Linked DNA regions of Mus musculus: region 2 is reported to be linked to region 1. The links are microRNA targets in miRTarBase. Many come from high-throughput screens and were not tested one by one. Region 1 holds a microRNA gene; the other region holds the end of a gene's coding sequence.
What was found. Region 1 holds the annotated microRNA mmu-miR-666-3p (GGCUGCAGCGUGAUCGCCUGCU, at 2,971-2,992, opposite strand). A microRNA usually pairs through its seed, bases 2 to 8, with sites in the 3' UTR of a target mRNA and lowers its output. Matches are read on the target gene's strand: a 7mer-m8 pairs with bases 2 to 8, a 7mer-A1 pairs with bases 2 to 7 and ends in A, and an 8mer does both.

Region 1 (5,380 bases):
GATGAATCCAAGACAAACTCCCCTCCAGAAGTTTGTGGGCCTAGGGGCCTTGGGCTGGGTGGCAGGTGTCACAGATATAATGTATGGCGTGCTCACTGCTCCACCAGCACCGAGGCCAGTACCCACTAGATGGAAAGGGATTTTCAACCTAAGAAAATGGGTTGACCATGCTTGTTCCATGCCCCTTAGCCTTTCTCCATGGGTATAAAGGGAGAGTTGCTGCTTTTCCAAAGGTGTTTCCATCTTTTATAGGCAGAAGCCAAAACACAGGTACAGCCACAGCCCAAGGGCATCACTGAGCCAGTAGAAACTAAGAGCTAAGTGTGTGGCTAATCCTGGTACCTCTTAGATGGAGTTTGCACTGGGTTTTGATGCGCTATGGTTGTTGAGCCACGTAAGTATAAACAAAGCTTTTATTCCAACTTGAGCAAAGAAAGAAATAGCTAGTATCCTAGCAAAGGGTTGCCTAAGAGTGATCCCATATCTTGTACTGGCTCAGCTTCGGAAACCCTCCAGGGGAGATGGATGGATGAGGTGTTCTCATACTCTCTGGATTGTATCCTCCCTCCCACTCTCACAAGAGAGCCACCAAAGGGCCCTGCTCAAACAACCACACTCAAAGGCAATTTTGATGCCATGAGGAGGCTACCAGAGAATGTTAGCCATAAAGAGAAGTTCACTAGGGAAAAGGGGTCTGAAGTGCCGCCTTACATCTACCACTCCAGAGGGCAGGGGTACCAGTATCAGAGATAAGAGACAGGCAGCAGTGGCTGATGACAGCTTGCTGTTCCCTGGTCCCAATCGTAGCCAGCACCCACCAGTCCTCAAGGCCTTGCTAATGGCATCAAAGAGCACAGCCCGTAGACATGGCAGGATGCTGGTAAAGAGCTGATCTGGGGCCCAGGCTTTTCTAGAGTCATAGTGTTATGTGACACTCACCAACTGACATATCTTGGTAAAGACACCTGCAGCTGACATCTAGACACATGTCTCCAGAAGGAATTGGTGGTTTGGCTTGTATTGGCTGTTTGATTAAATTGCTATTGTTTGGATTTTATAATTTTCTGGGCTTCTCTTATCTGAACTCCATCCTACAACAGAGCCTAAAAGTGCGCTTCCTGGTTTCCCTTACTGACTGTGCCTGTCCCAGGAGGTGGGCATTCTGGACCTAACAATGCACAGAGCCAAGAGGGGCAGGTGAAATTGTGCTTCTTTGAGGTAAATGCCCCTGTGCACATGGTGACCCAAACCCCCTGGCCTCCCGTCCTCCCTCTGGTCCATGGGGAGCTCTCCAAGGTGAGATTTGATATCGAAAAAGAAGTGCACCATGTTTGTTTCGTCACAAATAAAAGCGAAAAATAACATGGGCAACTTCTTTTCAGGTACCACGGCTGAGCTCTTGCTTGTTCCAGCAGTGTGCCTGAGTGTGAAGGGATGCTGAGGGACAGGCGGAAGGAAGGGATGGTGGGTGAGGCAGATACTTGGCCGGGAGGGGGACAGGGATGGGGGTCCTGAGGCAAGGGGAGTGGCTCAGTACTCATCACTGCCATAGCAATCCAGCCCAAACCCCCTCTACCTCAGGATCTCAGGAAGACCTGGGACGAAGACTGAAGATTCTGAGATGTTGCCTACCATCCTTGCCAGTCATTCTGAAGTGTCACTCGGGGGAAATGGGATGGTGCCAAACTCCAAGACAGAATCTCCTCTCTCAGTTCCAGGATCCTCTTCTGAAGCTGAGAAAAAAAAAAAAAGTCAAAGAACTAGGTGGCAAAATCCAGGGCAGCCTAAACCAGCTGTGTGAGTGCCTGGATGATGCCCTCTGAGGTCCCCCCTCTCCCGCACCCAGAAGTGACTTACGATGTAGACAAATACAACAAAGAGCTCACAGGGTACTGGGAAGCAGAAGAACAGGTTGAAATGGGAGGCTCCAGGATTCTGAGCGTGTGAGATGTCTGGGGATGCAATGTCCGTTCATCATCTTGCGGCTGTCCTGAACGGGACATATGACCGACCCTTCCCTGAAAACAAAACGCATTGATTAGTGTGTGTTACCGTTACTGGAAGGTTACAACACTACAGCAATATATCTGAACCACAAAGGAAAGTGACTTGGTACCAACTACCTACCTTAGACTGGACAATGGGAATAATGAGCAAGAGAACATACCATCCAAAGAATGCCAGTTACACTCATTGACAGGCCACTCAACAAGGAGCCATCCATTCCTCTCATAGTAAGGAAAGGCCCACCTCAAGCTGACTTACACACAAAGGAGGCATCCAGGCTAATATAACTTAAAGGTACAGTGACGTGTTGAGCTTCAAGGAGTGTCGGATGCAGGTCCCAGATTGTACTGTTACTCAAATGTCCCATGGTTCCTCTGGGACAGGCACTTCCCCCTCTGTCTAAACAGCCCTGGGTACTGTCCTCTTGAATTCTAGCTGGCCTTCAAACTCAGGGAACAGTGAGATCCACTCAGACATCTCTCACAGAAATGAAGACTCATTCCCCTCCCAGAAGTCTCAGCAAACATCTCCCTGTGGGCTAAGGTCTCATCTAGGAATCAATAATGTCTGGTCAACTGGTTCCTTTGACACTGTGTTGTGGAGGAGGGAGGAGGGAGCAGGAGCCAACCAACCCAAACCCATTCTCATTAAGAAAGGTCAGAGGACCATTCAAGAAGGGAGATAAACTCACACAACCCAGGCTCACTACATAGACTACTTTCCTAGACTAACATGGCTTCCCTGAAGTCAGTAAGTAGTTGAACCCCCGAAGTCTTCAACGTAGAATAGGATGCTGAAAAAGAAGTGCACCGCGAATGTTTCGTCACATATAAAGCGAAAAACACGCGGGCAACTTCTCATTAAGCACCGTACGTCAGCAGCATGGAACCCTGTGTACCACTTGTGTACCGCTGTCGTCACTTCCTGTGGCTTGAGTACCGCTGTCGTCACTTCCTGTGCGTGAGCAGGCGATCACGCTGCAGCCCCGCTGTACCTAGGGGGCTCTCACAGCTGTGCCCGCTCCACGCAGGCAGAATCAGGATCTTGTAGACAGGCTTTGGATTGGTCATCCTTTGGGGAGGTCTTTGGAGTCTCCTCAAACATCAGAGAATGATATAATAATCCTGACTTTGCTTCCCAAAGTCCAGCTCTGGATCCGTGACAAGAGAGGAGGTGGGTCCCGTGACCTCTCAGTCGAGGTCACCACCCATCTGCTAGAGGGGAGGACATCAACCTATGTTCCACGGTGGAGGCCCTGATGCAAGGAGGTTATCATGAAATGGGAAACAAAAAGATATCTGAGCCTTTGTCAGAACGAGACAATGTCTCCTGGACAAAAATATATGTAAGTGGCATGTGGTGTTCTGAGAACAGATTCTGTTGACCCTCCACTTGCTGGGAAATGGAACATTGAGATTAAAAAAAAAAAAGAACATGAATAAAGATAGACTTCTTAGGTGTTCCAGGTAGATAGTTGGTTGCCTATGCTTGTACACATGTTCTCTCCCTCATGACATGGCTACAGGGCACCTCCCCACCCTTCATTGGCTTGACCAATGAAACATGAGCAGAATCACAGTAGTTCCTAATCTCAGTCGGAGAGTTCCTACTTACTTTCTATGTCTCTGCCATGGCTGCAAGAACCACTTGCCAGGAGCCTGGAGGAGGGGCAAGGAAGCCACCTTCACCCCCAGGGTAGCAATACATCAGGAGGTCGTCCTAGGTATGGAAGGCATACTCAGCATTAGTAAAGAAGGACACACATGAAAATATAATATATTCTTTCAGACAGAACACCATGACATACCTTTTCCATTGATGAGGACTCTGGTGTCCTTCCCTAAGGAGATGTCATATCTGAAATACATCTCCTAGTCAGGTACTTGTGCTGGGAAGCAGCCAATGATTTGAATCCTCAGAAGACAAGCAAAATTGAACAGACATGGAGATGAGCAAGAACAACGAAGCCTATGCCATAAGTGACAGATGTGGGCTTGATGCTGGGCTAGAGAGACCTGTCACTCACCCACCAGGAGAAATGTGCCCCAGCTTGGGATATAGCTTCACATTCAGGGGATCCTCCAGGATGGCGTTGTTTACTGCAAAGATACAGGATCATAAAATGAAAGTCACGCCCATGGTAGCCCCCCCCCAACACACACACACACACACACACACACACTCTCTCTCTTGAACACATATATGTACACACACAAGCAGAAAAAGGATCCCCCTTAAAAGCTAACTCTGCTTGAAATATTTTAGTTTCACGCTGGCCTCAACCCCACCAACATCTTCTTCATAGCTGCCGTGTGCACCAAGGTGTCTTCCCACAGATGGTCTGGGTGTTGGTGGATAGTAAAACGGGTGACCTACAGCATAAATGAAGTGTACGTCACCGGTCTACCATCCACACAGCTACCCCGAGAACAGTGGGCATCATTGTCCCTTCAGTCACGATGCTGGCACGTCCTTATAGCTACTGTGAGGAGGACCTTGCTGAAAAGCCATCACACACCAAGAGTCACCTCACAGTCCAAAGCCATAGGGAGTAGCCTCAGGCCACCACGGGGACCCTGTCCCTTCTTCAAATGACTTTCCTTCCAGGGCTGAGTCCTGATGCCATACTCCCATGTCCCATGTCCCAGAGTCCAGGGAACAGCAGTCCAGGTCCCTTCCCTGAAGGCGTCATCAGGGACAGGGAGTGCCCCCAGGGTGGGATTTGATACTAAAAAAGAGGTTTCCCGTGTATGTTTCATCATAAATAAAGAGAAGACAACACGGACAACCTCTCCTTCAAGTATCAATTAGCACTGGTCAGAAAGCAAACAAAGGCAGCTGGAAAGTGCCAGGTGCCTTGTCAGAAGTGTCTGCTTCTGTGGGCCCTGGAGAGCAACCAAAACCCCTGTGCAATTTGACAGTCCACAGAATTGCCTGAGACTATTTACCAACAACACAGACCACCTGCATTCCTTATCTCTCCAGGTTTAGGGGGGGTCACTGAAGGGAACCAGGGACCCCAGAAATTGTGCCTCAGGAGATAACAGGGGAATAGTAGCTCTCAACTTCAACAAGTACAGTACATTGGGGGTGTTCAGGAATGAGCCTCGGATTCTGGTTCCAAGAGGTAGGTGGGTGATGAGAAGCGACCCAGCCCTCTGGTTGTGAGTCTGGGTAGTTTCCAGGGAAGGTAAGATTCTAAAAGCAGACACATTATAAAGTTAGTAGGAAGGTAAATGTGTGCCAGCACATGTGGTAGTATAAAGAAGCAGCAGGCAGGGGCAGGCAGTTCCACCCCCTGGTCGAGTGGTTCTCAACCTTCCTAGTGCTGTGACCCTTTAATATACTTCCTCATGTTGGGTAATCCCCAACT
Region 2 (5,380 bases), not on the chromosome of region 1:
TTAACTCACCCTCATGGCAAACACTTATGAAAGAGCTATCAGCCAAGCACCTCCCCACTCCCTACTTTAAATCTACCCTGTGGTCTACCCTTAGAACTGGCTTAGGAGATAAAACAAGATGATCTGTAGAAGGGGGGGGGGTGGCAGTCAGGGCTGGGGAAAGTAAGACTCAGGATCTGTGAAGCATAGTTCTCTATTAGTGTTAGGTGGGCAAATGAAACCAGGCCTTGGGCAAGAGGGATGCATCAACCACAGGCCTTGGGCTGTATGGGTCTCAGCCTCCCATTGGCCTTAGTTGTTATGTTAGTTAAGCAAGAAGAGATTGCCTACTTGCAAGGTTATTTGCAGGGTGTGAAGGGTGACTGTAGAGCTATATAATGAAGTCAGTGTTACTTGTAGCCTCCCTGTGCTATGAGCTTTTCATTGCTATGATGGATGCCTGAGAGAAACATAAAACTATAGTGTATCTGGACACGGATAAACTGAAGTCTCATACAGTGGGAGAGGTAGCAGAGATGGCTCACCTCCTGGTGGATAAGAAACAGACCCAGAGAGACCAAGCCTGGCTGAGGCATACAGCCCCCAAGCACATGCCTGGACTGGCTTACTCCAACTAGGGTCTACCTCTGAAAATTCCCATCACTTCTCAGCAGCAACACAAGCCTGCACCCATCAGCCTGAAGTGGGGGACAATGAACACAAGGATCGTTTCGTATCCAAACTGCAAGTGTGTACTGTAAGGCATGGGTAAGTGCCTATGGCACAGGAATGATGATCTTAGTTTGGGTCCCCAACACCTGTGTATGATCAAGCTTGGAGCAGTCCTGTATGTCTTAATCCTAATACAGGTGGATCCCTGAACTCTGGCTAGATAGTCTATGCTCATCAGAGTGTCTGGTTTGGTGAGAGACCTTGCCTTGAAAAATAAAGGGATGATACTGGAGGCTGGAGAAGGGGCAAGGACACCGGCTGCTCACTTACAGATGAACCAAACTGGAATTTGTTTTTGTTTTACATTATCCATGTTGAGCAGCTCACTAGTCTCATGGGGATCAAATGCCCTCTTCTGGTCTCTCTGGGCACCTGTACACACACACACACACACACACACACACACACACACACACACACACACACACACACACATGATTGCAATGCACGGTCACATTCATGCATTTGAGAAGCAGTTTGCCTTACTACCCATCATGATTTGAATGAGGTTCTTTCCACTTCATCCCTTAAGTATTTACTGGTTCAGAGATTTCAAAGTACTGCTGAAGGCCCAGTGAGGTCAGACAAGAGGATTACAGCCACAGCTCCTGCCCTGGAAAGGAAAATGTGCTCTCATGGCACAACCAAGTATCTCCAAGTCACACGTGGATACCAAGAGACATAGACCCAACCAAAACAGCAGGTCTGTGATGGGAGCCGTGGTCTCTCCGAAAGGTTGTCTCCGGAAAGGATGGCATGAGGACAGAGAGGGCTGAAGGAGAGGAGATGCTGCTCCTTACACAACACTGAAAGGACCCTAGCATCCAGGCACTCACAGCCTGGATGGTGAGACCGGTGTGCGAGGGCTGTTAAGAATAAATGGGATGAGGTCCAGGGTGGCTGGAAGCCCAGTGGTTGAGGTTAATGGCTCTGACCTTTCCCATTTGTCAACACACAAACAATAAAAGATATCCGGGATGATGAGTGGTATTTCTAAAATGGGTTCTGGAAGCCCAACTGGCAACAGTGGTTGGAGTTGAATGAAGAGGTATTTTAAGTATTGAACAAAGCAATGAATCGAAAGACTTCAAGGTCCTTCCAAGCTTAGAGTTTATGATTCTAAAATACTGACAAAAAAAAAAAAAGTTGGGGCAGTGAGAATTAGGTTCGAAAATTTCTGCAGTGACCCACGGGAAGGAATAGAACGATATACTTACGAGTAATTGATGCATTTCTTTCCTGAACACCGACTCCTAAGAGAGGTCGACTATGTGCTGGGGTCACCTCTGTCACTCCACAGCCAACTCCCCTGGTCAGATACTACTAAGCCTAGTCATTTACGGCTTCCTTCCAGCCTCAGCAGCAGACATTCTCATGAACAACTTTGCAAATCACAGGCAACGCCTGGAAAGTCGTCAAGAGGACGCAGTTTTACCTGGTCCTTCCTCTTGAGAGCCAGGGAGGTGCTGAATGAAGAGATCTGTGAGGCTGACTGACCGCACCAAACTGGGGGAACTGGAAATAAAGGACAGTTGGAAGATTGCTGGTAAAGAACCAAGTCTAAAAATCAGCTCTTGGTGCTTACTCCCTGTTGGAAGCAATTCGCTTCTGCTACTCTTTTTCAGAGCACTTCCAGTTTGTTGACATAACTTTGAGCATTCCTTATGGTGGATGGGGCAAACACAAAACAAAAATGTGATAGCAAACAAACAAACAAAAAAAGAATTCCAGACCCAGAAAACACTAAGCACTGGCTATAGGCAAGCCCATGACTCGAGCAACACACTGATTATCATTTCCAGACCATCTTTATTCTGGAAGACATGTGGTTTTCACTTATCCCTAAAATGACTTTTCCCACATCTGTAATAAACATTTGGTGACATCCCACTCCATAAATAAAGAAAAAGTGCATTTTATAACTACACCATCCAAAATTGGGATTTTCAGTGTCTTTGACCATCAAGTCAAACAAAGCAACCAGGTACTGTTACTACATTAAAGCTACATGTACAAGCTAGCAGAATTCTAATAACAAGTGAATAATAACTTTGGTGGGAAAATAACAGTTACTGAGCCTTTTGAGTGTGGAGGGAGGGAGACTGGGAAGGTTGAAGGTCAGTAACAGGCCGTGGTCTAGGGTCACTCAGAACCACAGACATGACTTGGTGCAGGTATGCACAAATAAGAATAGTGACATAAGAGTGTTAGGGTAGAATTCCCAGGTGTTATCAAAAGGTGTCAAGTAGAGAAAAGGTTGTTTCTCATTGTGGTATGGAAGGCAAATGTGCAGCCTGAGAGCCAGGGATAATTTACCTTGACCATTATAATTTAAATGTGTTTGGAGGTACCAGGCTCATGGGCATAATTTATAATATCAACTAGGTGTGGCTTTCCACCAATTACAAATTAAACTAAGGTGCTCAGGCACCATTGTCTGAATGCTTAGACTCCATGGATTTGCTTAGTCCATTCATATGCACGGGTTACAGACATTCCAGGTGGGTCCATATTAACAAGTGGGCATGGAGCTACACAGATGGCATGCACCAGATGTGTCAAATGCATACAGCAGAAACTGAGATGTTAATAGCCTTGAAATGTTGGCCTTGGGCACCAGTGCCTTTTAAAAATGAGCAGTTGTACCTTTATTTAAATACTGTGATTTCTTTCCTTCCTTCATCATCTTCCTTCTCCCCCCCCCACTCTTCCTCCCTCTTTTTTGAGACAGGGTTTTGGTGTATAAGGGTGTGTGTGTGTTCTGGCTGGCTTAGAACTCCATATGTAGACCAGGCTGGCTTTGAACTCATAGATCCTCCTTCCTCTGAATCCTGAGTGCTGGGATTAGAAATGTGTGCCACCATGCCCAGTCTATGATTTTTCTTAATGGACAAAGAGTACTTAGCTTAGGGTTTGTTTTACTGACTACATGTTTCTTGATTCATTGTATAAAGTAATCTTCTGAAAGCAGCAGACACTTGCACACACGCTTTAAAAAAATAGAATATAAAACTGTAAACAAAGAAAGTCAGGTCCTATGTGCCTGTCCCCCAGAGCTGATGGGTATCGCCACTTAGTATTCCATCCTAGGTGTGTGCGTTGTGCATAGGAAAGCCTGTCTACACCCATTCTCATTGGAAACTATGCAGGGAGGGTGCATAAGAGTCGGAGGAACACCATTTGTTGCTCCTAACTCCCTTTGATCTAAATCCTCCCTGACTCTGAGGAGGTGGCAACATCCTGTCTTTGCCTTTTTATTCTCAGAACACAAGAAACAGAAATGCCTTAAGTGACTCGGACACAGCACTTCCCTGGGGCATTTTTCACACACTTGTTTATGACCAACTACAGCCAGAGTAGCCAATGAGAAGGCACTTTCATGAAGGAAAAAAAAATACTTGCTGCAAGGGGGATTCCCTGTGAGAACCCCAGTCAACACGTTGGCTTTGCTCTGTGTGTGTGTGGCACCTGTTGCCGCTCTGTGGAGCAGTTAAGTCGCCCACTCCTGGAGGGGGTGGCTCTGAACCCAAATTGCTGGTGCCACATGATATCTAATGAGTGAGTTGGGTTCTTTTCCTACCTTAGATCTTTCTTATTCCCCTCCTGTTAGACATTCTACATGTGGAATAAGGCAGGAGATGTGAACATCAGGCAGACTTGGTAGCCTGAGCACCCGGAGGAGCCTGCGTGAAAGAGAACGGAACGCCCTGGGAAGGTAGCCACATCCTCTTCCCGCATCACCATGGAAACATGGTGGGAGGACCAGGGGTAGCACTGCCCCTCCTGCTAAGCCAAGAACCTGGCATGCCAGGCAGAGTGAGGGCTGATCCACTCACCTGGTGAGATAAAGAACCCACTTCCTATTAAGGGCCCAGGCTTTACCGCAGTGTGGATAAGCCACTGAGTCTGGAGGGAAGGAGAAAAGTGGAAATTGGTCCCATCTGAAGAGGTGACCTTTGGTTTAGGAGCGATCACGGGGCTAGACAGGCCACTCTGGGAAGGCTGTGGGCTTCCTGGGACATGTCAGCTGGGCTTGTGCATCTGGGCACACAGGGGCCATGGAGTACTTGTTCATGGCAGACAAGAGTGACCTGCAACAGTAACCCTGTGCTCTTCTTTTGTTTAAAACCAATTAGGGGCTTGGGGAGTTAAGTGAACGGGCTCCAATCGCACAGCTGGACTTCCCCTGCATGGTGCCATATCACTGGCCATCAAATCTGTGAAGACGCTGTCTCCTCATTTCTTCTGGTGGGAGCCGGAACCCATATGGCATTGGACCATTTCTGGTATTTCCTGCAAAGAGAAGGCAAACAAGGGAAATGACACACTGCCTATCCATTGTTCTGACATTTACAAGGCGCTGTGCTCCATAGGATACCAAGAAGAGAAAACCAGCTGTTTTGGTGTCATCTTTATTACAACGTTAAAAAGACACATAACACAGAGATTTCAACTCTAGCTGTTAATACTAATTTCGACACAGAGTAAAAGTTTTTAGCGTGGTTCGGTCCATGAGCTTAACTTGATTCAGTCTCAGTCCACGCTGACTTTGTTGTTCTACCATGCTCCATGATATCCATCGTGTCTTAAGGGCTGCTTTCATTTTTTTTTTTTTTTTAACGACCAACTCAACTAACTCCTCCATAGCCGACTCCTATCTATGCTGGCT

Region 2: miRTarBase lists Rhbdd1 as a target of mmu-miR-666-3p. Seed matches in the 3' UTR shown: 7mer-A1 at 4,111-4,117.

Annotation. Positions count from the first base shown.
Region 1 is chr12:109,714,752-109,720,131 of GRCm38, reverse strand. Mir666 (microRNA 666) reads right to left here and starts at 3,047; the gene lies at 2,949-3,047. Mir494 (microRNA 494) reads right to left here and starts at 4,814; the gene lies at 4,730-4,814. Mir679 (microRNA 679) reads right to left here and starts at 4,555; the gene lies at 4,482-4,555. Mir1193 (microRNA 1193) reads right to left here and starts at 4,461; the gene lies at 4,341-4,461. It also overlaps Mir543, Mir495 and Mir667.
Region 2 is chr1:82,442,487-82,447,866 of GRCm38, reverse strand. It overlaps Rhbdd1 (rhomboid domain containing 1), which reads right to left. Exons shown (of 7, transcript NM_029777.3): 7 at 2,501-5,004. The coding sequence ends at 4,913. Among named protein-coding and RNA genes, the nearest start is that of Gm46095, 73 kb to the right of the region's middle.